4 linked regions of the Anolis sagrei genome follow. The protein of the gene in region 2 interacts with the protein of the main gene of each other region in a pairwise test. Links are inferred from orthologs where the notes say so. Each region holds a gene or a part of one and is shown on either strand. Other genes may lie near its edges.

Region 1 (7,197 bases), on a different chromosome or scaffold from region 2:
TGAGAAGGGCGGGGTATAAGCGACCGTAATAATAAATAATAATAATATATGTTCTGTATCTCAAAAACTAAAACTGAAAAGGGGAAACTGGTTGCATTTTTGGAATCAGCAAGTCAAATATCCCCAGAAACAGGACTAACCTTTGAGGTAGCAAAATATGTGTTCGCTAGTATTATTGATAAATATATACCCCACCTTGATCTTAGTATAGGATTCAAGGATTCACAATACACTTGATAACAAAGGATATTCAAAGACAACACAGAAAGAAACCACCACAAATTTTGGTCAAAAAGAATACCTGGAAAACAATACGCTATAGATACAACATATTTGATTAAAGGTGTAAGGAGACGTTTATGATAATGTTTTTTATACTATATGCTAAACGTTTTAATAGTATTTATGGCTGCTTTAATTAACTTTAATTGTCGTGGCATTGAATTGTTGCCAACTGTGAACCGCCTTGAGTTGCCTCTGGGCTGAGAAAGGCAGTATACAAATATGGTAAATAATAAATCAAAAAATAAAAACTGAAATCCTCCCTAAATAAAGAGGTCTTTTCCTGTTCAGATAAAGACACCAGATAACCAAGAGTAACAAAAAGGTCAAGGCTACTAAGTGTTCAGGTTGTACCTTGTGACTGTGAAGACAACAGGACATTGAGAAGACCAACTGGAAAATAAAACTCACCTGCCCTTCCCAGTCTTTGGGCCCTTGATGCATCAAAAGGAAATCCTCTGCCAGGGCCACAGCCTGGGAGCAGGTTTGTGGACAGTGCCCCCTCAGCCATTTCTGCATATCTGGGGGCAGGGCAGCCAGGAACTGCTCCAGCGTCACCAGGTCCAAGATCTGTTCCTTGGTGCGTCTCTCCGGCACCAGCCACTTCTGGCAGAGTTTCCGGAGATTCCCCCAGAAGTTTCGGGGCCCTTCGCCTTCTTGGTAGATCAACATCCGAAAATGCTGGCGCTGTATCTCCAACTCAACAGCACCTTTACTTGCTGTTTCCTCTTTCCCAGAATGTTTGGCATCCAGATGGCTTTCATCATCCATAGTCACTACCTGAAGCTCCTGAGGGTGAGATTGTTGGAGTGTCTCCCCTCCAGAAGAGGAAGACTGTAGTGTTCTCAGAAACTTTTCCAACTGAGCATCCCAGATCCTTGACGGCTCTTCTTCTGACTCCTGTTTTACTGTTTGTTCTGATTCTCCTCCACCACTTCCCCCTTTTGGTAGAGGTGCTCCTACTTTGGCCTCTTCTGATTCAGGACCTATTGAATCCTCCACCTCCATTTTTATTACTGGACCCAGAAATCCAGTGGACCCTCTTTCTTGTATTGCAGCCATTTCTTTTCCAAAGAAACCTGTTTTGTGCCTCTCTTCCTGCTTTTTAGCACCAGTCCTTAGGTTGTCTTCTTCTCATAACATTCAAAAAGTCAACTCATCCACAGACACACTTCTTCAAGAAATGCAGCTAAATGCCCAGGACTTGATAAAATCTGTGTGAGCCAGCCATTCCTCCAGAAGATATACCTGCCTTTTGCTCCTAAGAGAAAAACACACAGGCTGTTAAATTGAAGTCTAAAATGTCTGAGAATTTTTCTGTTAAAGATGGGCAAATAAGAAGTAAGTAATCTCCAATCTATAATATATTGCATATACATATAATATTTATAATATTATAATGTAATACAATATAATACTAATACTAATAATAATACAATATTATAATTGTATATTTTATATTACATGTAATTTTACTAATAATATTACAATATAATGGTATAGTACAATATAATATATAATACTAATATTGTACAGGGTGAGGCAGCATAACTTCCTTTTTTAAATGTGCGTCATTCAGTTGGTTGAAGACATAGCGGAGAGTTAGTGGTCTCATTAGAGAGGCGGGAGTATAAAGTTTTGTCCTGACACAGTTCAGTCGCCATCATGCATTGGAACAGTGAGGAGCGTGCTTTTTCCCTTGAGGCCTACTTTTCGAGTGGATCTGGAATGGCCGGCCCGAGCGGATCTCCAGATTTGGCCCCTTGTGATTTTTTTCTATGGGTTTTTTTTTTGAAATCACATGTTTAGTGAACTGTCCAAGGACCCTACAAGATTTGAAGACCGATATTCAGGAAGAAATTGCCAACATAACGCCTGCTATGCTGGCAAGAGTCATGATAAACGCCAGAAATTGGTTTACTCAGTGTATGGAGAATGGGAGACGTCACATATCAAATTTGACCTTCAAAACTACGTAAAACAAAATGTTAGGTATGCGCCTACATTATTAAAAAAAATTAAAAATTCTGATTCATACAATGGATTTTATTAAGTTTTGAAAAAGGAAGTTATGCTGCCTCACCCTGTACTATGCTAATAATATAATATATTGTGTTGTTCATTCGTTCAGTCGTCTCCGACTCTTCGTGACCTCATGGACCAGCCCACGCTAGAAAACTAAATGGACCAGTACAATATATTGTATGTCTATATATATCTTGTAAGCCGCTCTAAGTCCCCTTCGGGGTGAGAAGGGTAGCATATAAATGTTGTAAACAAATAAATAAATGTAACAAGATTTGAAAAAATACATTCTGTTCCTGGTTTGAACGTGTTATTTCCTGTTTAATTGTGTGGTACTGACTATGGAAATAGTTGTTATACTCCAGAAACTTTGTTTTTGTGGCTACCCCAAACTGGGCAAACTTGGGCCCTCCGGGTGTTTTGGACTTCAACTCCCACAATTCCTAACAGCCTCAGGCCCCTTCCTTTTCCCCCTCAGCCGCTTAAGGGGCCTGAGGCTGTTAGGAATTGTGGGAGTTGAAGTCCAAAACACCTGGAGGGCCCAAGTTTGCCCATACCTAGTCTAGACGTAGCTGTCCAAATATTTACCTGGAAATTTACTCCCACCACAAGACAGTCAAACAGAATTTCTTGGCAGTCCCATGGCTTTCTGTGGAAGGAAAGTTAAACCTTGCTTCCTCTTCCGGCTCTCCCTTGGCGCCAAAGAACACTGAGCGGAAAGGGAGGAGCCTGAACAGGAAGCCGGAAGGAACGTTCAGAGGCCCACTTCTTCCTGGCTAGAGGATTAGGCCGCTCTGGGGCCCGCTCTCTATCACCTTAACCCCTCCTTGGCTGAACAGGAGGAAGAGCTTTGAGAGCCTCTGGCTCTGCTCTATGCTTCTCAAATAATATTGAGTTCAACACCCTTTGAACTGCCATGGCTCAGTGCTACAGAATTATGGGATTTGCAGTTTTACAAAGTCTGTAGCCTTCTCTGCCAAAGAGTGCTGGGGCCTCACCAAACTATAAATCCCATCATAGAGCTGGAAGAGACCTCATGGGCCATCCAGTCCAACCCCCTGCCAAGAAGCAGGAATATTGCATTCAAATCACCCCTGACAGATGGCCAACCAGCCTCTGTTTAAAAGCTTCCAAAGAAGGATCCTCCACCACACTCCGGGGCAGAGAGTTCCACTGCTGAACGGCTCTCACAGTCAGGAAGTTCTTCCTCATGTTCAGATGGAATCTCCTCTCTTGTAGTTTGAAGCCATTGTTCCATTGCGTCCTAGTCTCCAGGGCAGCAGAAAGGAAGCTTGCTCCCTCATCTCTGTGACTTCCTCTCACATATTTATACATGGCTATCATGTCTCCTCTCAGCCTTCTCTTCTTCAGGCTAAACATGCCCAGCTCCTTAAGCCACTCCTCATAGGGCTTGTTCTCCAGACCCTTGAGATACCAGTGAGATGTAGTATTTATTTATTATTTACAAGATCTGTCAAAAAAGAAAAGTTCTGGTGCGTTGCCAAACTATAACCCATGATATCATAACATTAAGTCATGGCAGTTAAGGTGGTGTGAAACAGCATTAATTTTGCAGTGTAGATGCAGCTTTAGAAGTGGGGATTTCGTTGCGTTTGGCTTGTTCTAACATCAGGTTTCAAGCTGCTGTAATCTTCTCTTTTACACAACCATATAAGATACAGGAAGCCTTTCCGTAGGTTGTGGAAAGGCCACCCAGTTCAAACCTCTTCTGACATGCAGGAATAATTATATAAATAAAAATGTAATGTTCATTTGTGGGATTAACATAACTCAAAAACCACTGGACAAATGGACACCAGATGTGGACACAATACACCTATCAGGCCAACGAGTGACCGTCATTCATAAAAACACTGAAAAACACAGTGGAAGAGACTTAAAAAGCCAAAAAATAAAAAATACATTACATTACAACTCATGTACAACTTGATGTTGCAATTCCAGGTAAAAGCAGGATTGAAGAGAAACAACTGGAAAAGCTGACACGATATGAGAATTTAAAAACCACATATATACACATATACACATACATACACACACAAAACACATATACACAGACTGGGCCACAGCAATGCATAGCAGGGGACGGCTAATCTATCTGTATAAATAAAAATGTAATGTTCGTTTGTGGGATTAACATGACTCAAAAACCACTTGATGAATGGACACCAAATATGGACACAATACACCTCTCAGGCCAACGAGTGACCATCACTCATAAAAACACTGAAAAACACAGTGGAAGAGACTTTAAAAGCCAAAAACTTAAAAAATACATTACAACTCATGCGCAAAACTACATATATACACATACACACACACACACAAAACACATATACACAGACTGGGCCACATCAATGCATGGCGGAGGGTGGCGGGGGGTAGTCTATCTATATAAATAAAAATGTAATGTTCGTTTGTGGGATTAACATAACTCAAAAACCACTGGATGAATTGACATGAAATTTGGACACTATACCCCTAACAGACCAACGAGTGATCATCACTCATCCCCCCCACCAAAAAAAAACCCAGCAGAAAGGACTTAAAACCCCCAAAAAGCTAAATGACAATACAGAAAAAAGGGAAGGAAGAGGGAGAGAGGGTATGAAGGGGAGAAAGAACGAAGGAAAGAAAGAGGGAAAGAGGATTTCCCTTCTTCACCCACAGTTCCTTTCTGCGTGTGTTTTCCTTCCCAAGGAGGGTCGGCCCGTCTAGGGTTTAGATGTCCTAGCTGATGCCAACTAACGTAGGTTGGGGCTGAGATGTAAGCCAGCTGATCTAAGATCTTGGTTGGCTTCTTAAAAAGTACACTTTCCAAGCTCTGCATCCCAAGGACCACACATGGTTCACCTAATGGTAAATTATATTCCAAAAATACTTAACGAAGAGCATGTAAGGAAAGCTGGAGTTTGGCTCATGCTAGATCTCTGTCCCAGTGATGTTGTCACGTCACAGGATTTCTGGGAAAGAGGAAACCTGTTTTCCTTGTTGCAGACGTGGTTTCCCAGACACTGACATGCTCTGAGTTGACTGGAAAAGGAGAGATGTGTTGCTCAAGTAGTGGGACAACAAGCGCAGCTTTGGTAGAGAATTGCCTTCTGGAGAATCAGTCTTGTGCAAAGTGGGGAGGTATAGTACCAATTTCTTCTGGGAAGAGATACAATAAGGTTTTGAAGACCTCACAACCTCTGAGGATGCTTGCCATAGTTGCAGGTGAAACGTCAGGAGAGAATGCTTCTGGAACATGGCCGTATAGCCCGAAAAACCTACAACAACCCAGGTTTTGAAGTGTTTGGAGGTACAAGGTGGTAAATTTAGTCTTTCATACCCATGGATTTTGCATTTACGAATTAAACCAATTACAGTTTGAAAATATTTGGGGGGGGGGGGGGGCGGGAAATCCCAAAGCTATACACTGGGCACTAGGTTGATGTGCTGACACACTCTGCTGTAGCGTCCCACCATTTCATAGATCCCCAGTCTCTCTCTGGTGCTATTTTGAGCTCTTTACCATGAGATATAAGAGGTGCCCATTTACTCTGCCATTGTTTATAATAAGATTTGACCATCCAGAGATTTTGGGGTCTAGAAGCAAGTCCTAGAAGCGAACCCCAGCAGATACCAAGGACATACTGTACACCTCACTAGAAAGTATATGTTAATTTGCACAATGGTTTTTTAGGGACCCCCAAACTTGGTCCCAACCGAATGCCCGATGGCAGGTGGCAAACAGACAAACAGCCAGTCTCAGGAGTAGAACAAAAGCAAGCTTTATTTCATCATGATCATGAAGAGATGGCCAGCTGTACCAAACATGCAGGTCTTGGTACTTTCAAGAGGCTGCTGCACCCAGTGTCTCTCAAACTCATATTATATAGACAAGACTCACAATATTCTTTGGCACTGCAGCAAAAATTATCCAACTGCAGACTACCACCTAAGCTTAATTCCTTATTTGTCACATTGACTAACTGACTTCTTGTAAATCACATGTTTTTTTGACAATGGAAAGTAGAAGACCCAAATTGCTCCCCGCCCCCCATACAGCAATAGACACTTTGTCAGCTTTTTAGCCTTCACCCTAAACTGTCTTGTGAAAGTTGTTAATTGCACATTTTTAAGGTGCTAACCACAAATGTTCCAGACAAGACGGACCCTTAGCAGAAGCATATTTCTAAATACAGAGGGAGTACATTTTTAGCTTTGATTTCTCTAGTTTCATTATTGCCACATCAGTTTGTATTTTATGAGAAAGCATAGAATCATACAACCATAGAGTTGGAAGAGAACTCATGGGCCATTCAGTCCAACCCCCTGCCAAGAAGCAGGAAAATCACCTTCAAAGCACCCCCAACAGATGGCCATTCAGCCTCTATTTAAACACCTCCAAAGAAGGAGCCTCCACCACACTCCAGGGCAGAGAGTTCCACTGCTGGACGGCTCTCACAGTCAGGAAGTTCTTCCTCATGTTCAGGTGGAATCTCCTTTCCTGCAGTTTGAAGCCATTGTTCCCCGTCCTGGTCTCCAGGGCTGCAGAAAACAAGTGTAGATTTCGGGGGAGAGAAGAGGGAGGGGAAGCAATAATACCATTATATTGCTTTTGCTCTTGATCAAAAAATGCAATCTTTGCAATATGATTGTGCCCAAGGGAGTGATTTAGCTGCTTTCATCCACATTTCATTCTATGTCAGTGGAGCAATCATCAGGCTTGGATTTTAGCCTTCCCATCAAGGGAGCTGTCTGTGGTGCTGCACCTAAACAGTAACCTAGGAATATCTGTGTTGGAAAGGCTTGAAGTGTAAAGCTCAAAGGATGATAGATTTCATCGTAGCTCCCCACATCAAGCAAAGCTATGGCCAGATGGCC
Region 2 (7,090 bases):
CCTGAACAGCTGATTTTGTATACGAAGCCCGAAGCTGCTTTAGTTCATCATGTGCCATTTCCACTGCAGACATACTAGCAAATGTCTGAGGAGTGAGAACTCCAATATGCAGGCTATGTTTTAAGTGAGAATTTTTTGGATTTTTCAAGTTGGAAACTTTGCTCCGGATGCAATTTTTGTACTTTTTATCATTGTTAGCATGAAGTGCAAAAATGTGTTGTTCAATTTCTTCAGCTGTTTTGTGGTGCTTTGCAATTTCTTCATTACTTGTTGAGGAATCAGTCAATGCTTCATAAAGAAGTTGTGTGCATTTCGCCCTCACAGCCACAATGGGACTATACTGTTGGCCTGTTTCACTAATAGAATTGGCGTTTCCCAGATCTGGTTCCGTTGTATTATCTTTCTGCACACAACTTCCAGCATTACTTGAAGGGCTTTCTGATGCCAGACTGGGACTGGCAGGACACAATTTTTCCTGCTGGTTCAATTTTCCCAAAGGGTTTATATCTTCAGAGACTACTTGAAGATGATCTGAATCCTCATTTGCATTTTCAGATAACCCCAAATGAAGTTGTACTGATGGACTGCAATGCTTTTTATAAACTGCTTTCCACTTTGAGAGCAAGTGCTTTGCCTTCTTTTTCAGGACCACGGAGGGACAATTCTTGAAGACTCTGAACACAGCTTTGGCCACATCAGTCTCTTGCAAGTCATCTATAGTGATATCAATCGTTTCAAGATATGTAAGATGAATCCCAATATCTTGGTATTTTCTTTCTGACAGTAGCTTCTCTATACAGTCAGCTCTAGATGTGAGGACTTTTGTATTAGACATTTCAAATCCTGAAAGAAATGGAAAGAATTATGTTTCTCTGAAGGCACTATACATACATCTCTATATTAATACAGACACAACAAATGTAATCAAATTGAGATCATTTTTCTGGATGAATAGATGGATTTTCAATAAATGTCTCATCCAACATTCAACCAACGTATTGTTGGAATGTCATATGTTTTCTTGATGCTTATTGTCATGTCCTAGGAGAAAAGATAAAGGTAAAGGTTTCCCTTGATATTAAGTTCAGTCATGTCTGACTCTGGGGGGGGGGGGGGTGCTCATTTCTATTTCTAAGCCGATGAACCTGTGTTGTCCGTAGACAAGGTCATGTGGCCAGCATGACTGCATGGAGCACCGTTATCTTCCCGCAGAAGCAGGTATTGATCTACTCACATTTGCATGTTTTTGAACTGCTAGGTTGGTAGAAGGTGGGCCTAACAGCAGGAGCTCACCCTGCTCCCCAGATTCGAATTGCTGAACTTTTGGTCAACAAGTTCAGTAGCTCAGCAGTTTAACCTGCTATGCCACCAGGGGACCTTGTCCTAGTAGGAAATAATTATTTTAAATGCATAAAACAAAATGAGTAACGTTGCAGCCCTATGTAGAATGACTACGTAAATCGGATAATTTATTACAGTGTAGTTCAAAGTAAAAAGAAATGGATGAACTATAAATCCCAGCAACTACAACTCTCAAATGACAAAATCAATCTACTCCCCCCCCCCAAAAAAAACCCCCACCAGTATTCAAATTTGGATGTATGGGGTTTGTGTGCCCAGTGTGGCCCAGTAAATGAAAATACATCAGGATATCAGATATTTACATTACGATTCATAACAGTAGCAAAACTACAGTTATGAAGTAGCATCAAAAATAATTTTATGGTTAGGGGGTCACAACATGAGGAACTGTATTAAGGGGTTGCAGCATTAGGAAGGTTGAGAAACACTGGATTATTTATTTATTTTATTTATTTCCAATATTTCTACCCCGTCCTTCTCAACCCCCGAAGGGGGACTCAGGACAGTTTACATTTCGCACAATTTGATGCCATTAAATATAACAAAGCAATATAACAACAATTAAACAATAATAGAACATTAATTAAAACAATAAAAACAGTATTAACTGCCGTATAACCATTCCAGTCAAATTCCATATCCAAGCGCTATTTATGCCTGCTGTCCAAAAGCCTGGTCCCAGAACCACGACTTCAATTTCTTCCTAAAAGACAGGAGGGATGAAACTGATCTTACCTCGTTGGGAAGCGAGTTCCACAGGTGGAGAGCTACAGCCAAGAAGGTCCTGTCTCTCATCCCCACCAGACATATTTGTGACGCTGGCAGGAGCGAGAGCAGGGTCTCCCCAGATGATCTTAAACTGCAAGGCGGGACGTAGCGGAATATGCATTCAGACAAGTAAGCTGGGCCAGAGTTAGCATAATCACATCTACCAAAATAATAACAGGTTACCTGTGGAAAACCTTAATTATCCTTCAATACTTCAATATGACAGAGTTTCTTGAGATCCAAACCATATGAAAGGCTGTTTGTCATATGGAGCCAAGACTGCTGGTACCAAACATAGGGTCTCAAGGGAGGACATAATAGGAAGCACTACTGAGTCCCCAAAGGCACTATTAACAGCTGGAGGATAGTAGTTTTAATACCTTGCTTTATTACTTTTGTTGCTTTGTTTTTGGAGGGGAGGCCCAGGGCCTGGATTTGTCTGCACAACTTGCTATTTCTGTAACATCTCGAAACAAGCAAAATGTAGGCCTGTAACTCTAACATCTGTCTTTACATAATCTTATTAATCCATCTATTGTTGAGCCAGAGTGGTTCAAAAGTTAGCACATCATGATTTTTGCACTTTCTGGCTGACCTAATAAAAGTGGATCTGGGATTTTGTTTCATGGTCAATAAGGCTACTCCACATATAGAATCACAAAACTGGAAGAGGCCACAACAGATGGGAACACGAGGATTTTACTCATCTCTTATAAACAAGGATATGTATAATTATTCGAAATATGATCCCAAAGTCACTTTTCCCCGAAAGGTATGATTAAATCCCTCCTCATCTGCTCACCTTATCCTTCCTAAGGAGGCCTTTCAGCTCACCCTCCGTGGCCCCGCCCCTCTCCTGCTCGGGCTCCTACCACGCATGCGTGAGTTGGAAAGAACCTTTGCGGTTCGTTGGGCAATCTGAGCATGCGCGGCGTGGGCTGTGTCTTTGCGCAGCCGCTGTTGCTGAGGGCTATCAATTGCGTCAGAGCAATTGTACTGATATCTCTTAGAATATCTGATATCTCTTTTGACTTGGAAATAAAAAGCCCTTGAAACCTTGGTGTGAGTTTATCTACATCAGTGTTTCTCAACCATCCTAATGCCGCCACTCCTTAATGCAGTTCCTCATGTTGTGACCCCCAACCATAAAATTAATGTTGTTGCTACTTCATAACTGTCATTTTACAAACTTGTGAATTGTAATGTAAATATCTGATATGCTGCGTGTAATTTCACTCACTGGACCAAATTTGGCCCAAATACCCGATATGCCCAAATTTGGGATTGGGGGAGGATTGATTTTTGTCATTTGGGATTTGTAGTTGCTGGGAGATATAGTTCACCTACAATCAAACTCCACCAATGCTGGAGTCGAACCAAACTTGGCACACAGAACTCCCATGACCCACAGAAAATGCTGGGAAGCGAGTTCCACAGGTGGAGAGCTACAGCCAAGAAGGTCCTGTCTCTCATCCCCACCAGGCATATTTGTGACGCTGGTGGGAGCGAGAGCAGGGAGAGCAGGGTGGGCTTTGACCTTCAGTTTGGGAGTTGTAGTTCTCCTACATCCAGAGAGAGCACTGTGGACTCAAACAACGATGGATCTGGACCAAACTTGGCACAAATACTCAACATACCCAAATGTGAACACCAGTAGAGTATGGGGAAAATAGACCTTGACATTTGGGAATTGTAGTTGCTGAGATTTATAGTTCACCTACAATCAACAAGCATTCTGAACTCTACCAATGATGGAATTGAACCAAACTTGGCACACAGAACCCACAGAAAATACTGGAAGGGTTTGGTGGCCTTTATCCTTGAGTTTGGGAGTTGTAACTCGCCTACATCCAGAGAGCACTGTGAACTCAAACAATGATAGATCTGGACCAAACTTGGCACACATGCTCAACATACCCAAATGTGAACACTGGTAGAGTTTGGGGAAAATAGACCTTGACATCTAGGAGTTGTTGCTGAGATTTATAGTTCACCTACAATCAGAGAGCATTCTGAACCCCACCAATTGGTCCAAACTTCCCACACAGAGCCCCCATGACCAACAGAAAATACTGTTTTCTGATGGTCTTTGGCGACCCCTCTGACACCTCCTCATGACCTCTTCTGATAAACACTTATCTACAGTGTACAAACAATGTGGCCTGAAACCACTTTAACCGCTATGGCTTAATGCTCGGGAAATCTTGGGAGCTGTAGTTTGACAAGGCTAAAGCGCTCTTTGGCAGAGAAGGCTAAAAACCTTTTAAAATTACAACAGCCACGATTCCATAGGATTGAGCCAATTCTACAATGAAATCGTATCCTTGGAAGCTAAGCAGGGTCAGTCCTGGTTAGTCCTTGGATGGGGGACTGCCATTAAATCCCAGGTGCCATACATCCACTGCCAAAAAAGCTCCTCTGACTGTCAGAAAGTTCTTCCTAATGTTTAGGTGGAACTTCTTTTCCTGCAATTTGAATCCACCGCTCCATTGTGTCCTAGTCTCCAAAGCAGCAGCTAACAATATGATGTCCTTTCAAATATTTAAACATTTCTCTTGTGTGCCTTCTTCACCTCTCGTCTCTAAGCTATTGGGTTGGGTGCTCATTTTTCATTTTTATGTTCCCAGTTTATTCAGTGTCAATTAGATTTTATTATTCTAACTATATCTGTACCCTGCTGTGGTATCTGTAAGGATGCTGCAAAAAAGAAAGAAACCTCCACCAATGCTCAGCTTCCACATTGAACTGGATTATGTGGCAGCGTGGACTTAGATAATCCAGTTCAATGTAGGTATTGTGGATTATCTCCCTTGATATTCCGGGTTATATGGCTGAGTGGAAGGGGCCCAAAACAAGTTGAAAGTTCCTCGTGCTTCTGCATTAAACCTTAACAAACCAGAAGAGGGCACCATTGGGTGTATTAAACATTATATCCCGTATTAATGTACTTTGATCAGATTTAGATCACAGCTATTCCACACTACTATGTATGCTCCCACTGGCTCCCACTCAGCCAGAAGGCATTAGGCCTATCTGTGCTCTGTAAGGAATGCCATTTGGGACTGACTTTTTAGTAGAGAGGAACATTTAACTTGACTCGCTGTATTGAAAAAAAAGTGAAGCTAGATGTAAAGGAAAAACCTCCAACTTGATGATTTGTTCCTTTCCTGACTTGTGTCATGGAATCTAGCTGAGTTTATATTAATTTGGTTTAAAGTAAGTCCTAAAGTATTTGGAGAGAACTTATTATTTTGATTTCTCCATTCACCTTTCTTTACAAAAATCTTTTCATTTTGAAATGGAATGTGATTGTGTTAAGATTCCTCGGCAGATTTCCACATGTAACTAAAACAGATCAGTACTTCTTAAAATTGCCAATCTGTGATGTGAGAAATTGGCAATTCTTTTTTTCCTGTGTGGAGCAATTCTTTTTTCCCTGGTGGTCATTGTCGACCACCACTTTTGAGTAGTACTCGACTAGACAATCCTAGTATCTCATAGGTGTAGTTTTACAAGTCTCTAGGGAAGACAGGCAGACTAACATCAGCGTTCTGGAAGAAGCAAAGACGACCAATATTGAAGTGATGATACTCCGCCAGCAACTTCACTGATCTGGCCACATTGTCCGAATGCCTGATCACCGTCTCCCAAAGCAGTTGCTTTACTCTCAACTCAAGAACAAAAAACAGAATGTCGGTGGATAGCAAAAGAGGATTAAAGATAGGGTTAAAGATGCTCTGAGGATGCTTGCCATAGATGCAGGTGAAACATCAGGAGAGAATGCTTCTAGAACATGGCCATATAGCCTGAAAAACCTACAACAACCCAGCAAATGAAGATTATGTGTTCTAATTTTATATTCCCCATTTCACTAGCACAAGAAAATACTTGTTCAACACCAACATTTTTGTAACTTTTTCTTGTCTTTTCAGTTACAATACAAGCTTAATTCTAATGAAAAACAGTATGCAATGCACACAGAGCACAAATAGTATGTGTTTTCAAAATAACTTCTTTCAAGTTTACAATTCGTAACTTATACAGATCACACTGCTTTTGGAAATGTTTTTTTCTAATTTTTAGTACATATCTGTCATCAGATTTAATATTAAACATTTGAAGATACATCTTGTTATTTATTTTTAAAACTTGAATAAGTCCCAAAAACAATAGAACTTGGACACATCATTCAGCACAGAAATATCTGTTTCATGTATTCTGTTAACTATGGACGCTTGTGAGGAGGATTAATTACAGTGCTTCTTTGTAAGAACATTTTGTGTCTACAGATTAGAAGAAAGAATAATGGGAGGACAAAAGGCAATTCACATTTTTCATATTTTGACACGCAGAATACACTTTCTCCCCATAGTGAAATATGAATAACTTAAGCAAAAATGCACACAAGAGAGATGGAACCAAACATATGTTTTCTTGCATATAGGCACATATAAGTTATACATTTACGTCCATTGATTTCAGGGTCTTAAATATGCTGATTCCCCTTTGGATTATGTTCTTCATTTCTCTTATTACAACAAGACAGAGAAACAGCCTGATCCAGCAATGTGAGAGAATGCTATTATGTAAAAAGTACCTCTGGCAAACATAGTATGAAAATTTATTGCAATGATGAGAGGAATCTCAACAAAAACATGGGCATGAATTGGTGATATGGGGGGAAAACTATGTATGGGTAGAAGATGTGGATTGAACACCCAGCCCATTTGCAGTTCCTTACCATGGCTCTATACAATTACATTTACTCCACTGTACCCTATATGTTGCTTGAAATAAAACATTCTTTCAAAGATATTGCTTCATATTCTTGTAGGTCAGTGGTTATTAACCTGTGGGCCACGGACCATCCAGTGGGCAGTGATGACAAAAATCTGGTCTGCGAGGTTCCTTTCTCTTTATTTATTTATTTATTGATTGATTGATTGATTGATTGATTTTA
Region 3 (7,824 bases), on a different chromosome or scaffold from region 2:
CTCGTCTCTCTCTCTCTCTCTCTCGCGAAAGGGCAAAGTGAAAGGAAAGCACCGCTACTACCAAGGCCTCTCTGGCCCCACCAGGCCACCCACAAAACAAGGAGGCACTACCCCTCCTGTACTTTAGGACCAACTTGGGCCTTCCCTCCAGGTGTTTTGGGCTTCAACTCCCACCATTCCTAACAGCCTCAGGCCCCTTCCTTTTCTCCCTCAGCCGCTTAAGCTGAGGGGGCCCGAGGTTGTGAGGAATGGTGGGAGTTGAAGCCCAAAACACCTGGAGAAAAGGCCCAAGTTAGCCCAGGCCTGTTTTAGGGAGACTATGAGGACATGGGTCACCTCTGCACTCCCAACTCCCAAGTAATAATAATAATAATAATACTTTATATACCGCTCTATCTAGTGGGACTCAGCCAAAGTAACAGAGTGACAAACATTCAATGCCAAAGTGTGGAGGATAATAATACTGCAATAATAATAAGGTTCCCTGACTGCCCCCCTCCTTCCTTTGCCTTCTTCCCTTCCTGACTCCCCTGTTTTGACTGGCTTCACTGTGGATAAGGATAAGAATAATAATGCCAAACTAGGTTCCCCCTTTTGCCCCTCTTCGGTTTTGACTGAGTTAAGTGTAAATGATGATGATTATGATAATAATGTTGATTCCTGCCTCGGTTTTGATTGGGTTTAAGTGTGGATTAATAATAATAATGTTGATTCCTGCCCCTGTTTTGATTGGGTTTTAAGTGTGGATTAATATAATAATAATAATGCTGATTCCTGCCCCTGTTTTGATTGGGTTTAAATGTGGATTAATAATAATAATATAGTATCAAGGCTTCCTTTTCCTTCTTCACCTCCCGCCTTCCCACTTTTGACTGGCTTAAATATGGATGATGATGATGAAGATAATGACAATGTTGATTCCTTCCCCAGATTTGACTGGGTTTAAGTGTGGATGAATAATAGTAATAATGCAGTAACATGGCTATCTCTGCCTTCTTGCCTTCCTGCCTCCCCACTTTTAACTGGGATAAGTGTTGTTGATGATGATGATGATGATGATGATGATGATAGTATTGCAGCAGTAACTACATAGTTCTCTAACCAAGGTTTACCTATTTGCTTCCTTCAGTTTTGTCTGGGTATAAGTGTGGATGATGATGGTGGTGGTGATAATAATAATAATGAGAAGGAAGCAACAGCCAGCATAGTGATCTTGTTTGCTGTGTACTAATCTTGTGCATATAATAATAGTACTGCAGCAGTAACAAGATTCCCTAACTGGGGTCCCCTTCCTTGCTTCCCTAACCTGTTTTGACTGGGTTTAAGTGTGGATGATGATGGTGGTGGTAATAATGATAATAAAAAGGGAAGGGGGTAACAGCCAGCATAGTGATCTTGTTTGCTGTGTACTGATCTTGTGTATCTAATAATAATAATAATAATAATAATGCAACACAGTAACAACAAGGTTATCTAATTGGGGTCCCTCTCTTTGCTTCCCTAACCTGTTTTAACTGGGTTTAAGTGTTGATCATGATGATGATGATGGTGATGGTGATGATGATAGTATTGCAGCACTCACAAGGATAAGGTTCTCTAACTGGGGTCTCCCTCTTTGCTTCCCTCCCCACTTTTGACTGGGATAAGTGTGAATGATGATAAGGATAATGCTGTAAGGACAATGTTCTCTAACTGGGGTCCCCCTCTTTGCTTCCCTAACCAGCTCTGACTGGGTTTAAGTTTGAATGATGATGATGATAATGATACTGATAATAATAATAATAATAATAATAATGCTGTAAGGACAATGTTCTCTAACTGGGGTCCCCCTCTTTGCTTCCCTAACCAGTTTTGACTGGGTTTAAGTGTGGATGATGATGATGATGATGATGCAGTAACAACAATGTTATCTAACTCCCTAACCAATTCTGACTGGGTTTAAGTGTGAATGATGGTCATGATAATAATGATAATAATAATAATAATGTAGTAACAACAATGTTCTCTAACTGGGGTTCCCCTCTTTGCTTCCCTAACCAGTTTTGACTGGGTTTAGGTGTTGATGATGATGCATAATAATAATAATAATAATAATAATAATAATAATACAGTAATGACAATGTTCTTTAAGTGGGGTCCCCCTCTTTGCTTCCCTAACCAGTTTTGACTGGGTTTAGGTGTTGATGATAATGCATAATAATAATAATAATGCAGTAACAAGGTTCTCTTTGCCTTCTTCCCCTCCTTCCTCCCCTTTTGACTGGGATAAGTGTGGATAATGATGTTATAATAATAATAAATCACAGCAGTACGACAGGGTTCCCTGGCTCCCCCCCCCCTTTTTTTTTTTTTTTACCATCTTCCCTCCCTCCTCTCCAGTTCAGGATGGGGCAGGAAAAGGGGGGCGATCCTAGAAAAAGAGGGACTTCCAGCTGTAGAGGTGACAGTCCATTGCCTTGCCTGACTCTCCTCTCTCCTTCCTCCTTTCCTTCCCTCCCTCCCTCCTTCTGAAGCAGCCGCCCGTGTGTTTTTCCAGCTGGAAGTCGCTGGAGGTTTTTCATTCGAGGAAGGAATTAAAGGGGGGGGGGGGAGAGAAAGAGAGAGAAGCGAAAGCAGAGGGGGGTTGTTTTACACTTACTGTGTAAAAGTGGGAAAGGAAAGGGGGGGAGGGGGAGTTAGAGGGAGAGAAGAAGGGGAAAGACTCACAGTGTCTCGCCAGCTGATCGCAAAGGGCTGGGGTTTGTTTTCTGAAAATGCTTTTTTTTTTGGAGGGAGGGAGGTATCATATATAATAATTATTCTAATTATTGCTCGTGCCCCCTCCCTGCGAGACGGCTGTTCTCCTTCGGCCCTTGGAGTAGGAGTGATGTCTGCGGTGCAGCTCTCTTCTTCTTCTCTCTCTCTCCTTCCCCAGGACTGTATGCAAATAGGGAAGAGAAGCCAAATATGGAGCAGTTGGCTGCCTCTGCATCGGCTTCAAGGCTTCGACTTCTCCGTGCAAAAGGGGAGGGAAGGAGGGAGGAGAAGGAGGCAACACTTTTGTCAGGCGGCCAAGAGAGCCACACAGATTATAGCAGACGCACAACAGAGCCTGGCGGAACCAGCCTTAACCCTTTCCAGGGGCTGCTCCCTCAGTCTCCAGGAAGGGAAATACTCTGGTGGTTGCTGTTGTTTACTACTACACCCTGGCTTTGGGACTCTCCTCTGCATAGCCACACTTCATTCAGAAATCATTATAGCACACACACCAGAGTTGGAGCAAGCAACTCTGGCCCTTTACAGGTTGACAAAGGGCCCTCTAAATGCATTATTCCAATGATTTCCAAGGGTGCATACATACTGCAAGGTTAAAGCAGTTGGTTAGTGACTGCTTTAACTGCCTATGACTCTGGAATCATAGTTGTGGTTTCATAAGATCTTTAGCGTTCTCTTGCCAAACTACACCTCCCAGGATGCCATTGCATTGAGCCGTGGCAGTTAGTGCTGCCAAACTGAAATAATTCTACAATTTATAGGCAGCTTCCAACAAAGGATTCTCTCCAGGCAGGAAGCAGCCACACCTTGAAGCTGAAAGGTTATTCAGTGCTAAGCAAGGTGCCCAATTGCAACATTCACACCTGCCTCAAACAAGAGTTCTTTCTCCCGCCCTGGACATTCCACAGATATATAAATTCCACTTGCCTAGTTTGCAACAGACCTCACAACCTCTGAGGATGCCTGCCATAGATTTGGGTGAAATCCCCTGCAAACACTCTGAGAAGCACTTTACCCGTTGGGTTGCTCTTTACTTTTGATTTAAAACCCTCCAAATAGATACATCCTCTGCTCATGTCCAGCATTTATTTTTAAAGTTTTAACTATTACATTTGGCCCAGCCATAGATTTTTAAATTCTTGTGTGTTATTGTCTATTTATGAGTTATATAAATTTTATTGTTGATTTTGTTTATTGCTTGTTGTTTTTGATGTGTTGTTGGGCTTGGCCTCATGTAAGCTGCTCCGAGTCCCTCGGGAAGATGGTGGCGGGGTATAAATAAAGTTTTATTATTTATTTATTATTAATGTCAGGAGAGAATGCTTCTTGAACATGGCCATACAGCCCAGAAAACTCACAGCAACCCAGTGATTCCGGCCATGAAAGTCTTCAACAACACAATTTATAGGCACCTCAAGTGTTCACAAAATAGAGCACCCATGCTGTAAACATGCTACGTGTGCTTTCAAATTGCTGGTCAGCATCTAGCAACCTTGTGGATTTCATAGCGTTTTCTTAGGCAAGGAACAGTCAGGAATAGTTTTGCCTCTGAAAATATAGCTTAATCAGCGCTTGGTGTTCACTGGTGGTCTCCCATCCAAGTACTATCCAAAGCCAACCCTGCTTAGCTTCCAAGATCAGACAAGATTCAGTGCATTTGGGATATTAAGGTGCTCACAGACATACTACAGCACCCAAAAGACAGCACACTTGCTACTCGAATAAGTGTGATATTGTGAATATACAATCTGTGTTTAGCATGATCCTATAAGAGGGCAGGGGCCACGGTGGCACAGTAGGTTAAACTGCTAAGTTGCAGAACTTGCTGACCGGAAGGTCAGTGATTCAGATCCATGGGACAGGGTGAGCTCCAGTTGTTAGACCCAGCTCTGCCAACCTAGTATTTCAAAAACATGCAAATGTGAGTAGATCAATAGATACTGCTTTGGCAGGAAGGTAACGGCACTCTGTGCAGTCATGCCGTCCCCATGACCTTGGAGACATATACAGACAACAGGCGGCTCTTCGGCATAGAAATGGAGATGAGCACCACCCCTCAGAGTCAGACTTGACTAGACTTTAATGTCAAAGGAAAACTTTTATGTTTACTATAAGAGGGCATTGCAGAGCCCCAGCAAAATATGTATGTTTAGTCCATGGGAGAAGATGATATTCTCCAGAACAGAAGTGCTTTCTAAGAAAAGATGTAAGCATAAATAACAAGCAAGTAACATATATTGTGTGGGGAAAGGTACTGGTGGTAAAGAACCGACTGCTGAATCATGTTGTGTTACAAAGCCATTGTGTTGAAAAGCCAGTTGCCCATTCAAGGCTGTACTGTTGTTGAAAGGAAGAAAACACAGCCTTGACAACAGAAGATGAGGAATAAAGATGAAGTTTCTTCAAACCAGTGCTGAGGAATCTTATTTAGTTACTGGTACTGCTCTGGTAACTATCACTGAAAGTAAGCCATTGCCAAGAGAGAAGCCTTATAGGAAGCAACTCCTTGTACTGAACTGAGAGAATAGCAGATCGGCATTTTATTTTCTGAAAATGTGTTCTCTCAATCTGACACATTCTATTAGACTCAGCTTTTTTATTTTTTATTATTTCTTGAAGGGGGAAATGCAAGCCTTTAAATTATTAAAAACAGGATAGATGTGATAAAAAGAAGAGTAGGAGAGGAGAAGGAATCTTGCAGTATCTTAACACTAATTGATATATTTTAGCATGAGTCTTTGTGGATTTCAGTCCATTTCCACATTGGCATATGTGCAGCATGGCATAATTAATAGCTATCAGGGAACATGTGCGGTAGAAACATCCTAGGGTACATAATATATTAAAATTTGCTTGTCAACTTCACAACTACAAGTTCTCATTCTCCCCAAGCAGTAGGATTTTGGCTCCCAAGTATGCAAACCTTTGCTCATTCAGAGACAAAACGAAAAGGCACCCATGTGATACCACCCAAGACCTCAGATATACAAGTTCATTTCCAGGACGATTGCAAGGCAATTGTTGCATCATAACAAACCAAGCAATAACCTCAAGAGATGGCAAGTTAACAGGACAGATCAGAAACCCAGAAGGAAATTGCAAAAGTAATGAGATCAGAAGAAAGGAAGATAAACCTTTGCAGTTCAAGCTTCTTCAGTAGGACTAAAGGAAAGTTTCACATCTGTGGAAGAACAGCATAGCAGACCTTATACAAGTAACTTCCAGATCAGACGTCTTCTACACTCTAGAGAAAACAGTAGCAGTGGAGAAGGAAGAGTTGAATAACCAAAGAAAAGCAATTACAAGTAAGCAACCTGTAATTCCACATATGGAAGAATAGCAAGCTAACTTATTTGTCATAGATATAAATATCTGTTTCTAGGAACTTTACTCCACGCATTGAATAAAGCAGACTTCGCCTATGAAAGCTTATGCTAACAACTTCTTTCTTTCATGACCTATAAAGCCCTAAACAGTTCAGGCCCCGCCTATCTACGCGATTGCATCTCCATCTATGAACTCTAAGATCTTCTGGAGAGGCCCTCCTTTCACTCCCACTAATGTCACAAGTACGATTGGTAGGGATGAGAGAGAAGGGTCTTCTCGGTGGTGTCCCCCCGCCTCTGGAATGCCCTTTCAAAGGAAATAAGACGGGCCCCATCCCTCCCCTCCTTTCGTAAGAGCTTGGAGACCTGGTGGTTTCAACAAGCCTTTGAGAATGAGCAGTTCTAGCTCAGCCCCAAACATTGTTGAATATGGCCTTATACTTCCTATCTATTACCCTGGTCATCCCTCTAAAATGCCCTGGAAATGAGCAGCCGCAGACTCGTACCTGCTGTTGTTGTTAGCCTGTTATAGCACTGTAATTAATTCTTGGTTCCCTCATATTTTGAGTTTGCACTAGCCTTGGCCCAACCTTTTAATAACTCTGAACAGGCAGGATTATTTTTTAATATATATGTGTTATTGTGATTATTTTATGCTTATGTTGTTTTGTTAATTTTATGTCATGCTGTTTACTCTGTATGTTTTTGTGATGTTACTTGGAAACCACCCTGAGTCCCCCTCAGCGAGATAGAGCGGTATATAAATAAAGTATGTATGTATATATGTATGTATGTATTTATTTATTTACCAGAGAACCACCAAACTCATTGCAATCAATAAAAGATACAACTTTGAGATCCTGAACTTCCAGAGGAATATTCTCTGACAACAATTAGGACTATAAGATGCCATTGTTAGAGATGGAAAGGCCCTTTAAGAAATCCATGTTTGAAACCATGATCTCCACTAGCACTATAGGGGTTCCTAAAAGAAACATAAGCAAGCCAGGTTAAAGTATACCTGAGTTAAAATTAAGATCCAATGGACAAAAATATGTACTAATTTAATGTCATCAAGAAGTGTATAACTAGAATAAGACCCCAGTCTCCCTGAGATACATTTCTTGCTGGACCAGTTACATTAAACTACAGATATGGCTGGATACCATTAAATTCCCTGACTTCTGGTCCTAGCATACCATTAAAAAGGTAAAGTTTTCCCCTTGACATTAAGTCTAGTCATGTCCAAATCTGGGGGGGGGGGGGTGTTCATCTCCATTTCTATGCTGGAGAGCCAGCGTTCTCTGTAGATGCCTTCTAGGTCATGTGGCCGGCATGACTGCATGGAGCACCGTTACCTTCCCACTGAAGCGGTACCTATTGATCTACTCACATTTGCATGTTTTTGAAATGCTAAGTTACGAGAAAATGGGGCTAACAACATGAGCTCACTCCATCCGCAGATTCGAACCATCAATCTTCTGATCAGCAAGTTCTGCTTAGTGGTTTAAGCAACTGTACTACTGCGGCCCCCCATACCATACTCCTCTAGAAATCTCTAGATCTTTCTACTCAAGTCTATAGTAACTTCTGGAGAAAGCATACCTGTCCAGAAAAGAAATGATCAGGATGCCAGAGAACAAAATGTTATTTCAAGTATTTGTTGTGACACAGCCTTAGAGAAGGGAGATTACCTGATAAACTAGAAGTCCTGTGTTAATGGTTTGTACACTGCTTCTAAGTC
Region 4 (7,507 bases), on a different chromosome or scaffold from region 2:
CTACAAGCCAGTCTAAACACCTTTGCAGAAGCATATGAGAATTTCGGCCTGTCATTAAACATCGCGAAAACCAAAGTGCTCTTCCAGCAGTCACCAGCCAATCCCTCTCCAATGCCAGAAATACAGCTTAATGGTGTAACATTAGAAAATGTTGACCATTTCCGCTACCTTGGCAGCCACCTCTCCACAAAAATCAACATTGACACTGAAATATCGCCTGAGCTCTGCAAGTGCAGCATTTTTCTGAATGAAGCAGAGAGTGATTGAGAACCAGGACATCCTTAGAGATATAAAAGTGCTTGTTTATAAAGCTATTGTCCTCCCAACCCTGCTATATGCCTGAAAAACGTGGACTGTGTACAGATGTCACATGCAACTCCTGGAACATCAGCATTGCCTCTGAAAAATCCTGCAAATCTCTTGGGAAGACAAGCAGACAAATCCCAGAGAGCAGAAGAAGCAAATACCACCAGCATTGAACAGAGTTGATGGCTCCTATGCCATCAACTCTGCTGGACTGGCCACATTGTCTGAATCCCTGATCACTGTCTCCCAAAGCAGTTATTATACTCCCAGCTCAAGAACAGGAAACATAACATTGGTGGGCAGGAAAAGAAATTTAAAGATGGGCTTAAAGCTAACCTTAAAAACTGTGTTAACTGGGAACTAGGAAGCCCTGGCCCTTGAGCGCTCTAACTGGAGGTCAGCTGTGACCAGCAATGTTGGGGAATTCGAAGAAGCATGAATGGAGGGTGAAAGAGAGAAACATGCCAAGAGGAAGGCATGTAAAGCCAACCCTTATTGGGACGGCCTTCCATCTGGAAATCAATCAAGAATATACCTCTATAGTCACCTACGGATCCACCACTAAGACCCTACATTTGGAAGGCAATCATACTCAGTCACAAGTGACAGCCTATGATGGTGATCCATCAGAGTTAGGCCTCTGTTTTTAGACATCACAGAAGGGGAGGAAATAGCTAGTTATTTTACAGTATATTTAAAATACAAATACTTACTGCCAAATAGAGAGAAATAAGTGTATCATTTTCTACAATTATATTTCAGCTCAAATATCTTTTGAGATGGGAAGAGGGGCTGCATCTTGCTTTGCTTAAGGCAGGGCATCTCAGTCTTAATGTCCTAAGCCAACATGGCACAGTTATATATAGAGTGCAATCCTATTATTCAAAAGTCAGAGCAGTGGAGTTCACAAAGGCCCCATCCACACTGTAATCCAGTTCCTGAATCCAGATTATCTGCTTTGAACTGGATTATATGGCAGTGTGGACTCAGGGCTCTTCCACACAGCCATATAACCCAAAATATCAAGGTAGATAATCCACAATATCTGCTTTGAACTGGGTTATCTGAGTCCACACTGTCATATAACCCAGTTCAATGCAGATGTGGGATTTTATACAGCTGTGTGGAAGGGGCCAAGGTATAAGGCTATAGAATGGCCACATTACATTTTGTTTTATTTGGAGAAAAGATTTAGACTGTAATGAGATGGGATAAGAAGAAGCCCTACTGAATCAATCTGTGGTCTGTCCTCAGTTTCAAGAGCACAGCCTCAACTAGCACTCCAAACGACTTAGGTGTCCACTCAAAAGCCCAGGAAGCAATGCAAGTAGGAGGCCACAATTTCCTACTACAAAGACTTTTATTGTAGGCCACAGCAATAACATCAAAATGCATATAGAAATGCAATCAAAGGTTTTGTCACAGCCTAAAATGGGGTTGCAAGGCCTTTTTATCATTTTCAAAGAAAATTGAAAACACATTCTCATTGGTGTTCAAATATCAATCATTTCATTGGTCTAAACTGGCTAATACAAATTTCATTGGCTCTCTATGACTTTGACAGGCATGAAGACACACATGAGATCTTAACAATGGCACAACTTTAATCTATTGGTCTCCAACTCTGGCTGTCTAAATGAATCAGTCTTACCTGTTCTTCTGTTGCAAGCATAACTCGATTGGGAAACTAGCTAGCCAGTTTTGTCCTGATGTACTGTTATCCTTGAAAAGTAACTTACCCTCTGCAGCAATATTTTTCCAAACCATCTGCAAACAAAGGCCCTCTGCAAAAGCAGGCACATATGGCAGTTCGCAGCTTGGGAGTTCTCCTGGACTCATCACTGAGCCTGGAATCCCAGGTTACAACGGTGGCCAGGGAAGCTTTCGCACAATTAAAACTTGTACGCCAGTTGCACCCGTACCTTGGGAAGTCAGACTTAGTCATGGTGGTCCACACTCTTGTTACATCCAGGATAGACTACTGCAATGCATTCTACATGGGGTTGCCTTTGAAGACTGCTCGGAATGGGACGGCATACAGGGAGCATACAACTCCCATGTTACGCCAGCTCCACTGGCTGCCAGCTTGCTACCAGGCACAATTCAAAGTGCTGGCTTTGGCCTACAAAGCCCTAAATGACCATGGCCCAATGTACCTGTCCGAACACATCTCCCCCTATGAACCATCGCGGAGATTAAGATCCTCTGGGAAGGCCCTGCTCTCCACCATTGTCACAGGCACGATTGGTGGGGACGAGAGAGAGGGCCTTCTCGGTGATGGTCCCCCAGCTATAGAACTCCCTTCCTGGTGAGATCAGATCGGGCCCCTCCCTCCTGTCCTTCAGAAGGATGGTAAAAACTTGGCTGTGGGACCAAGCTTTCGGGACAGGGCAATAAAGCAATAGGAAATTTTACCGGCCAATTAGATTTGGCGCAGATGACCAAGACGATTTTAAATAGTAATAATAATAATAATATTTATTTATTTGATCAGTCATATGACCATTTCAAAATAGAACACAAGTAAAAAAACAAGGCAACAAGGTGATAAGTCTGGTTCTTCTTTCAAGAAATCTGCTCTTTTCTTAATAGCTTTCAGAATAAAAAGGCTTACTCTGATTATGTTGGATCTTTCCTGACCTTCAAGAGGGATGTCAGAATATCATTTCTGTTGGGGGACCTGCAGTTGGATAATATTGGATGTAAATATCTGTCTCGCAGTTCAATGTATGCTGGACAGTCAATTAAGAAATGTTCAATGTCTTCCACTGTTTGTTCTCCCCAGACGCAGAATCTCTGGTTTTAAATAGTGTTTTTTTTAATATTGAAATAAATGTTTTTTTTAATGTTTATGTATGCATATAATGAAATCTTGTCCCGGCATTGCATGTTTGCCATATATATGCTGTGCTCTACCCTGAGTCCCCTTCTGGGTGAGAAGGGCGGAATATAAATGTTTTAAATAAATAAATAAATCAGGACAATATGGGACATTGGAAGCATCCCTGAAAATACCCCTTTAAAACTACGTCTCTCTCATCAGGGTGCATCGAAAGGTCTCCTCGCACTTGAGCATTTATCCACTTTAATCCACTTTAAATACTGCGACTGCCTCCTGCAGAATTCTGGGATTTGTAGTTTAGGGAGTGGGCTTTTAAACTGCTCATCCAGAGAAGCCCTGGGCCTCCCTAAACTGCAAGCCCAATAATTCTGCTTGAAGCAGTCATAGCATTTAAAGTGGACTAAAGTGGACAAATGCTCAAGTGTGTTTTGTTGTTGTTCATTCATTCAGTCATTTATGACTCTTCGTGACCTCATGGACCAGCCCACGCCAGAGCTCCCTGTCGGCCGTCACCACCCTAAGGTTGTTAATGTTTCTTCCAGCAATTTTTACCCCAGCCTTGCATTCGTCAAGCCCTGCACATTGCATGATGTGTTCTGCATGCAAGTTGAATAGGTTGGGTGCGAGTAGACAACCCTGCCGTACGCCTTTCCCAATCTTGAACCAGTCTGTTGTTCCATGGTCACTCAGTTCTGACTGTTGCTACTTGGTCCTTATACAGATTCCTCAGGAGAAAGATAAGGTGATTTGGTATGCCCATACCATCAAGAACGTGCCACAATTTATTATGATCCTCAAGTGTGGGGAGGCCCTAATTCATGCACTTGCACTTCCATGGCTCAGAATTGTCCTTTGAGGCTTCTCTGCCAAAGAGGGCTGGTGCCTCACCAAACTATAACTCCCAGGACTCTATAGCATCCAGCCCTGGCAGTTCCAGTGGTCTCAAACTGCATTTCTTAATCTCCAATTAGGCAACGAATCCTGGCTAATAAATTACAGCAGGCATGGGCAAACTTGGGCCCTCCAGGTGTTTTGGACTTCAACTCCCACAATTCCTAACAGCCTATCGGCTGTTAGGAATTGTGGGAGTTGAAGTCCAAAACACCTGGAGGGCCCAAGTTTGCCCATGCCTGAGTTACACGCTTAGGAGACTACTACTCCCAGCATGCAGCGCGAACGAGTTTCGCGCGTCGACACTGAGAAAAGCCGCTCTCCGCGGCCGAAAGGCCTTGTGGGTGTTGTAGTTCTTCAGCTGATGTGGCTCGAGGGCCGGGAGCCGGGTGCGGACTCCATCTTCCAGGATGCGCCTCGCCGGGCGTGGAGGCGGTGGAGGCGACGCGGGGCCGTGGCTTCCTCTTTCCCGGCCATTGTCAGCCGGGCTGGAGGGCGGCAAGCGTTGTGGTGGCGGCGGCGGGGCAGGAGGAGGGAATGAGCGAGGAGGAGGCGGAGGAGCCTTGCGGGAACGCGAGGAGCGGCGGCGGCGGCGGCAGGTGAAGGACGCGCCGCGCGGGTTTGTTGCCAGGGGACACGCCCCGCCCCTTTGGAACGCCGTTGCTAGGCTACACCCGTGCCCGCGAGGCCCCACTTAGTAACGCGTTGCTAGGAGAGCGGGAAGGCCCCCGTGGGGTCGCCCTCTTTATTTAGGCCTGTTCCCTGCCATTGGTTAGAGAGGTTCAGAGGCAGCCTTCTTCCCATCCCCTAAAATCTGGGAGATGCGGATTCAGGTCCCCACAGAGCACACCCACATGAAATCCCACATTATCTGCTGTGAACTGGAATATATGGCAGTGTGGACTCAGATAAGTTAGGGCCCTTCCACATAGACATATAATCCAGAATATCAAGGCAGAATAACCTACAATATCTGCTTTGAATTGGGTTAGCTGAGTCCACACTCCCATTCAGTCTATGGGCCCTTCCACTAAACCCTATATCAAGGCAGAAAAAAACCCACAATATCTGCTTTGAACTGGGTTATCTGAGTCCACACTGCTATATATTCCAGTTTAAAGCAGAAAATGTGTGGTTTTATTCAGCTGTGTGGAAGGGGCAGATATTGTAAGATTTTCTGCCTTGATATTCTGGGATATATGGGTGTGTGGAAAGGCCTAGGCCCCTCAGATAACCCAGTTCAAAGCAGATATTGCGTAATTTTTTTTGTTGTGTCAGGAGCAACTTGAGAAACTGCAAGTCACTTCTGGTGTAAGAGAATTGGCTGTCTGCAAGGACGTTGCCCAGGGGACGCCTGGATGTTTTGATGTGTTATCATCCTTGTGGGAGGCTTCTCCCATGTCCCCACGTGAGGAGCTGGAGCTGATAGAGGGAACTCATCCGCGCTCTTCCCAGATTCGAACCTGCGACCTGTCGGTCTTCGGTCCTGCCGGCACAGGGGTTTAACCCACTGCGCCACCATGGGCTCCATAATTGTGGATTATCTGCCTTGATATTCTGTGTTATATGGCTGTATGAAGGGGTCCAGAGCCCGGGCAATTCCAGTGAGACCAAACCACATTAATTCTGCTATGTAGATGCATCCCTGGAGCTCAGTGGGACCCCTTCTACACTACCATATAAAATCCAGATCATCTGCTTTCAACTAGATTATATGGTAGTGTAGAAGGGGTCTGGGTGACCTTGGGTTAGTCATTTGTGAGGCTAAAGCAAAGAGGAAAGGAGCCAAAACACATGAAGCAGAAGTCCATTGGCAGGGACCAATGGTGAAAAACATGTTTCACTCATTTATTTATTTATTTTTGTTGTTGTTGTTACATTACAATTATTACATGTGATTTTAATTGGTGTTTTAATGTCATGTTTTTAATGGGTTTGGTTTTAATATTTTTGTATATTTACCAATGTATTAATATATGACATTGAATTGTTGCCTTCGTAAGGCTGCCCTGAGTCCCCTTCGGGGTTGAGAAGGGCAGGCTATAAATGTGGTAAATAAATAAATACATTACAAAGTTGTATTGCAGTCCTCTGTATTTCCTGGAGTTAGGGGCACAGGAGCCCGTGAAAGTGAAAAACCATAAATAAAGAAATTACTATATATTTTTCCTCAAAGGCCCCTTCTACACAGCTGTATAAAATCCACTTCGAACTGGATTATATGGCAATGTGGACTCAGATAACCTAGTTCAAACCAGATATTGTGGGTTATTTGGCTATGTGGAAGGGCCCTATGAGAAGACTTGGACAAATTTGTTTAAATTTAAGAAATTAAAAAAAATTCTAGGGATTTCTAGGTCTTCCAGCATGACTTTACAGTCATCTTTTGCTAAAAGCTGATAATAGAACTTCATAGGAGGATCTAAAGCAGAGGTGTGTTGCAACATGTTAATGTGTTGGCTGCAGTGTGTAGCTGTGTTGCACAAATGTAATGAAAAATCTCTGAGTTTATGCAAAATAAGCAATAAATAATATATTTCAAAAATATAAAGGAAAGTTTTTCATGATATACGTTGTGTCTCCATACATTTCATTATTACAGTGTATATATGTGTCCTTATTTATTGTGCAAGGTTGATGTAACCTCCAGTATGCTAGTAAAACTGGGTCACAAAATGATGCCTGTCTAAAAAGTGTGTCATCAACATGAAATGTTTGGAAAGCTCCTATCTAGACATTCCTAGAGAGACTCTTTCTGGAAATCTTTGGGTGCTCCAGCAGGACTGGAGGGAGTTGATCATGAAGTCAGACTGGAGGACCTAGAGACTCCTAGAGAGAACATTTCAAATCAAATCCATGAAAAATCCACAGAAGTAAATCCACAAAACATGGAGAGGTGACTGTATGATTAAATATATCTAATAGATGATTTTTGCCTCACTCTGTACACAACAGCCATGTACAGTGTCCAGTTCATTTCACCTCTCGTGACTTAAGACGTGGACTTGAAGGGACTTGAAAGCAACCAATCCTCTCTAAAAGAGAGGGGAGGGGTGAAATCCTTTTGCTATGAGTGCAGTGGATTCTATGTGACATAAGAAAGAATACAGGAGGGGAGAGAGTTGTTTTCTGATCTATTAATTTAGTATATACCTCACTTTTCCCTCTGCAACAGATCCAAATTGCTTGGATATGTCTATGCATGTTTACAAAGACACTTGTACATAGTGGGAGTGGGGTTGTGCAACATTTCAAAGTCTGGCATACTTCATCACGGGGCTTAAATAGAACTGCAGTTTGTCAGATAATTTTTCTATCCAATCTATATAAAACTAGGCCCTTTTGCTCACTCATTTTGATGTAAAACACAGAACTTATAGCTCTTTATTGCTGTATTGTACAAAAAAAAATCAACATACCTCTTGAATCAGAACATGGAAAAGTTCCCATTTTTGGATTACAACTCCC

What was found.
Region 1: the proteins of TCEANC (region 2) and zinc finger protein 397-like interact in binary tests that used the Homo sapiens proteins (3 or more experiments, as listed by UniProt). The link is inferred for Anolis sagrei from reciprocal best matches to the Homo sapiens genes TCEANC and ZKSCAN7.
Region 3: the proteins of TCEANC (region 2) and ATXN1 interact in binary tests that used the Homo sapiens proteins (3 or more experiments, as listed by UniProt). The link is inferred for Anolis sagrei from reciprocal best matches to the Homo sapiens genes TCEANC and ATXN1.
Region 4: the proteins of TCEANC (region 2) and TARBP2 interact in binary tests that used the Homo sapiens proteins (3 or more experiments, as listed by UniProt). The two-hybrid records come from large-scale screens. The link is inferred for Anolis sagrei from reciprocal best matches to the Homo sapiens genes TCEANC and TARBP2.

The regions. Positions count from the first base shown.
Region 1 is NC_090022.1:14,843,278-14,850,474, forward strand, and holds the start of zinc finger protein 397-like, read right to left. Parts: upstream 3,014-7,197; 5' UTR 2,896-3,013; intron 1,545-2,895; exon of another isoform or gene 1,544-1,544; 5' UTR 1,345-1,543; coding exon 694-1,344; intron 1-693. UniProt on the Homo sapiens protein: May be involved in transcriptional regulation.
Region 2 is NC_090023.1:91,729,802-91,736,891, forward strand, and holds the start of TCEANC (transcription elongation factor A N-terminal and central domain-containing protein), read right to left. Parts: upstream 3,022-7,090; 5' UTR 2,933-3,021; intron 2,597-2,932; exon of another isoform or gene 2,511-2,596; intron 2,314-2,510; 5' UTR 2,252-2,313; coding exon 2,098-2,251; intron 844-2,097; coding exon 1-843.
Region 3 is NC_090024.1:81,545,371-81,553,194, forward strand, and holds the start of ATXN1 (ataxin-1), read right to left. Parts: upstream 3,013-7,824; 5' UTR 2,707-3,012; intron 1-2,706. UniProt on the Homo sapiens protein: Chromatin-binding factor that repress Notch signaling in the absence of Notch intracellular domain by acting as a CBF1 corepressor. Binds to the HEY promoter and might assist, along with NCOR2, RBPJ-mediated repression. Binds RNA in vitro.
Region 4 is NC_090022.1:190,334,377-190,341,883, reverse strand, and holds the start of TARBP2 (RISC-loading complex subunit TARBP2), read left to right. Parts: upstream 1-4,493; 5' UTR 4,494-4,576; coding exon 4,577-4,638; intron 4,639-7,507. UniProt on the Homo sapiens protein: Required for formation of the RNA induced silencing complex (RISC). Component of the RISC loading complex (RLC), also known as the micro-RNA (miRNA) loading complex (miRLC), which is composed of DICER1, AGO2 and TARBP2.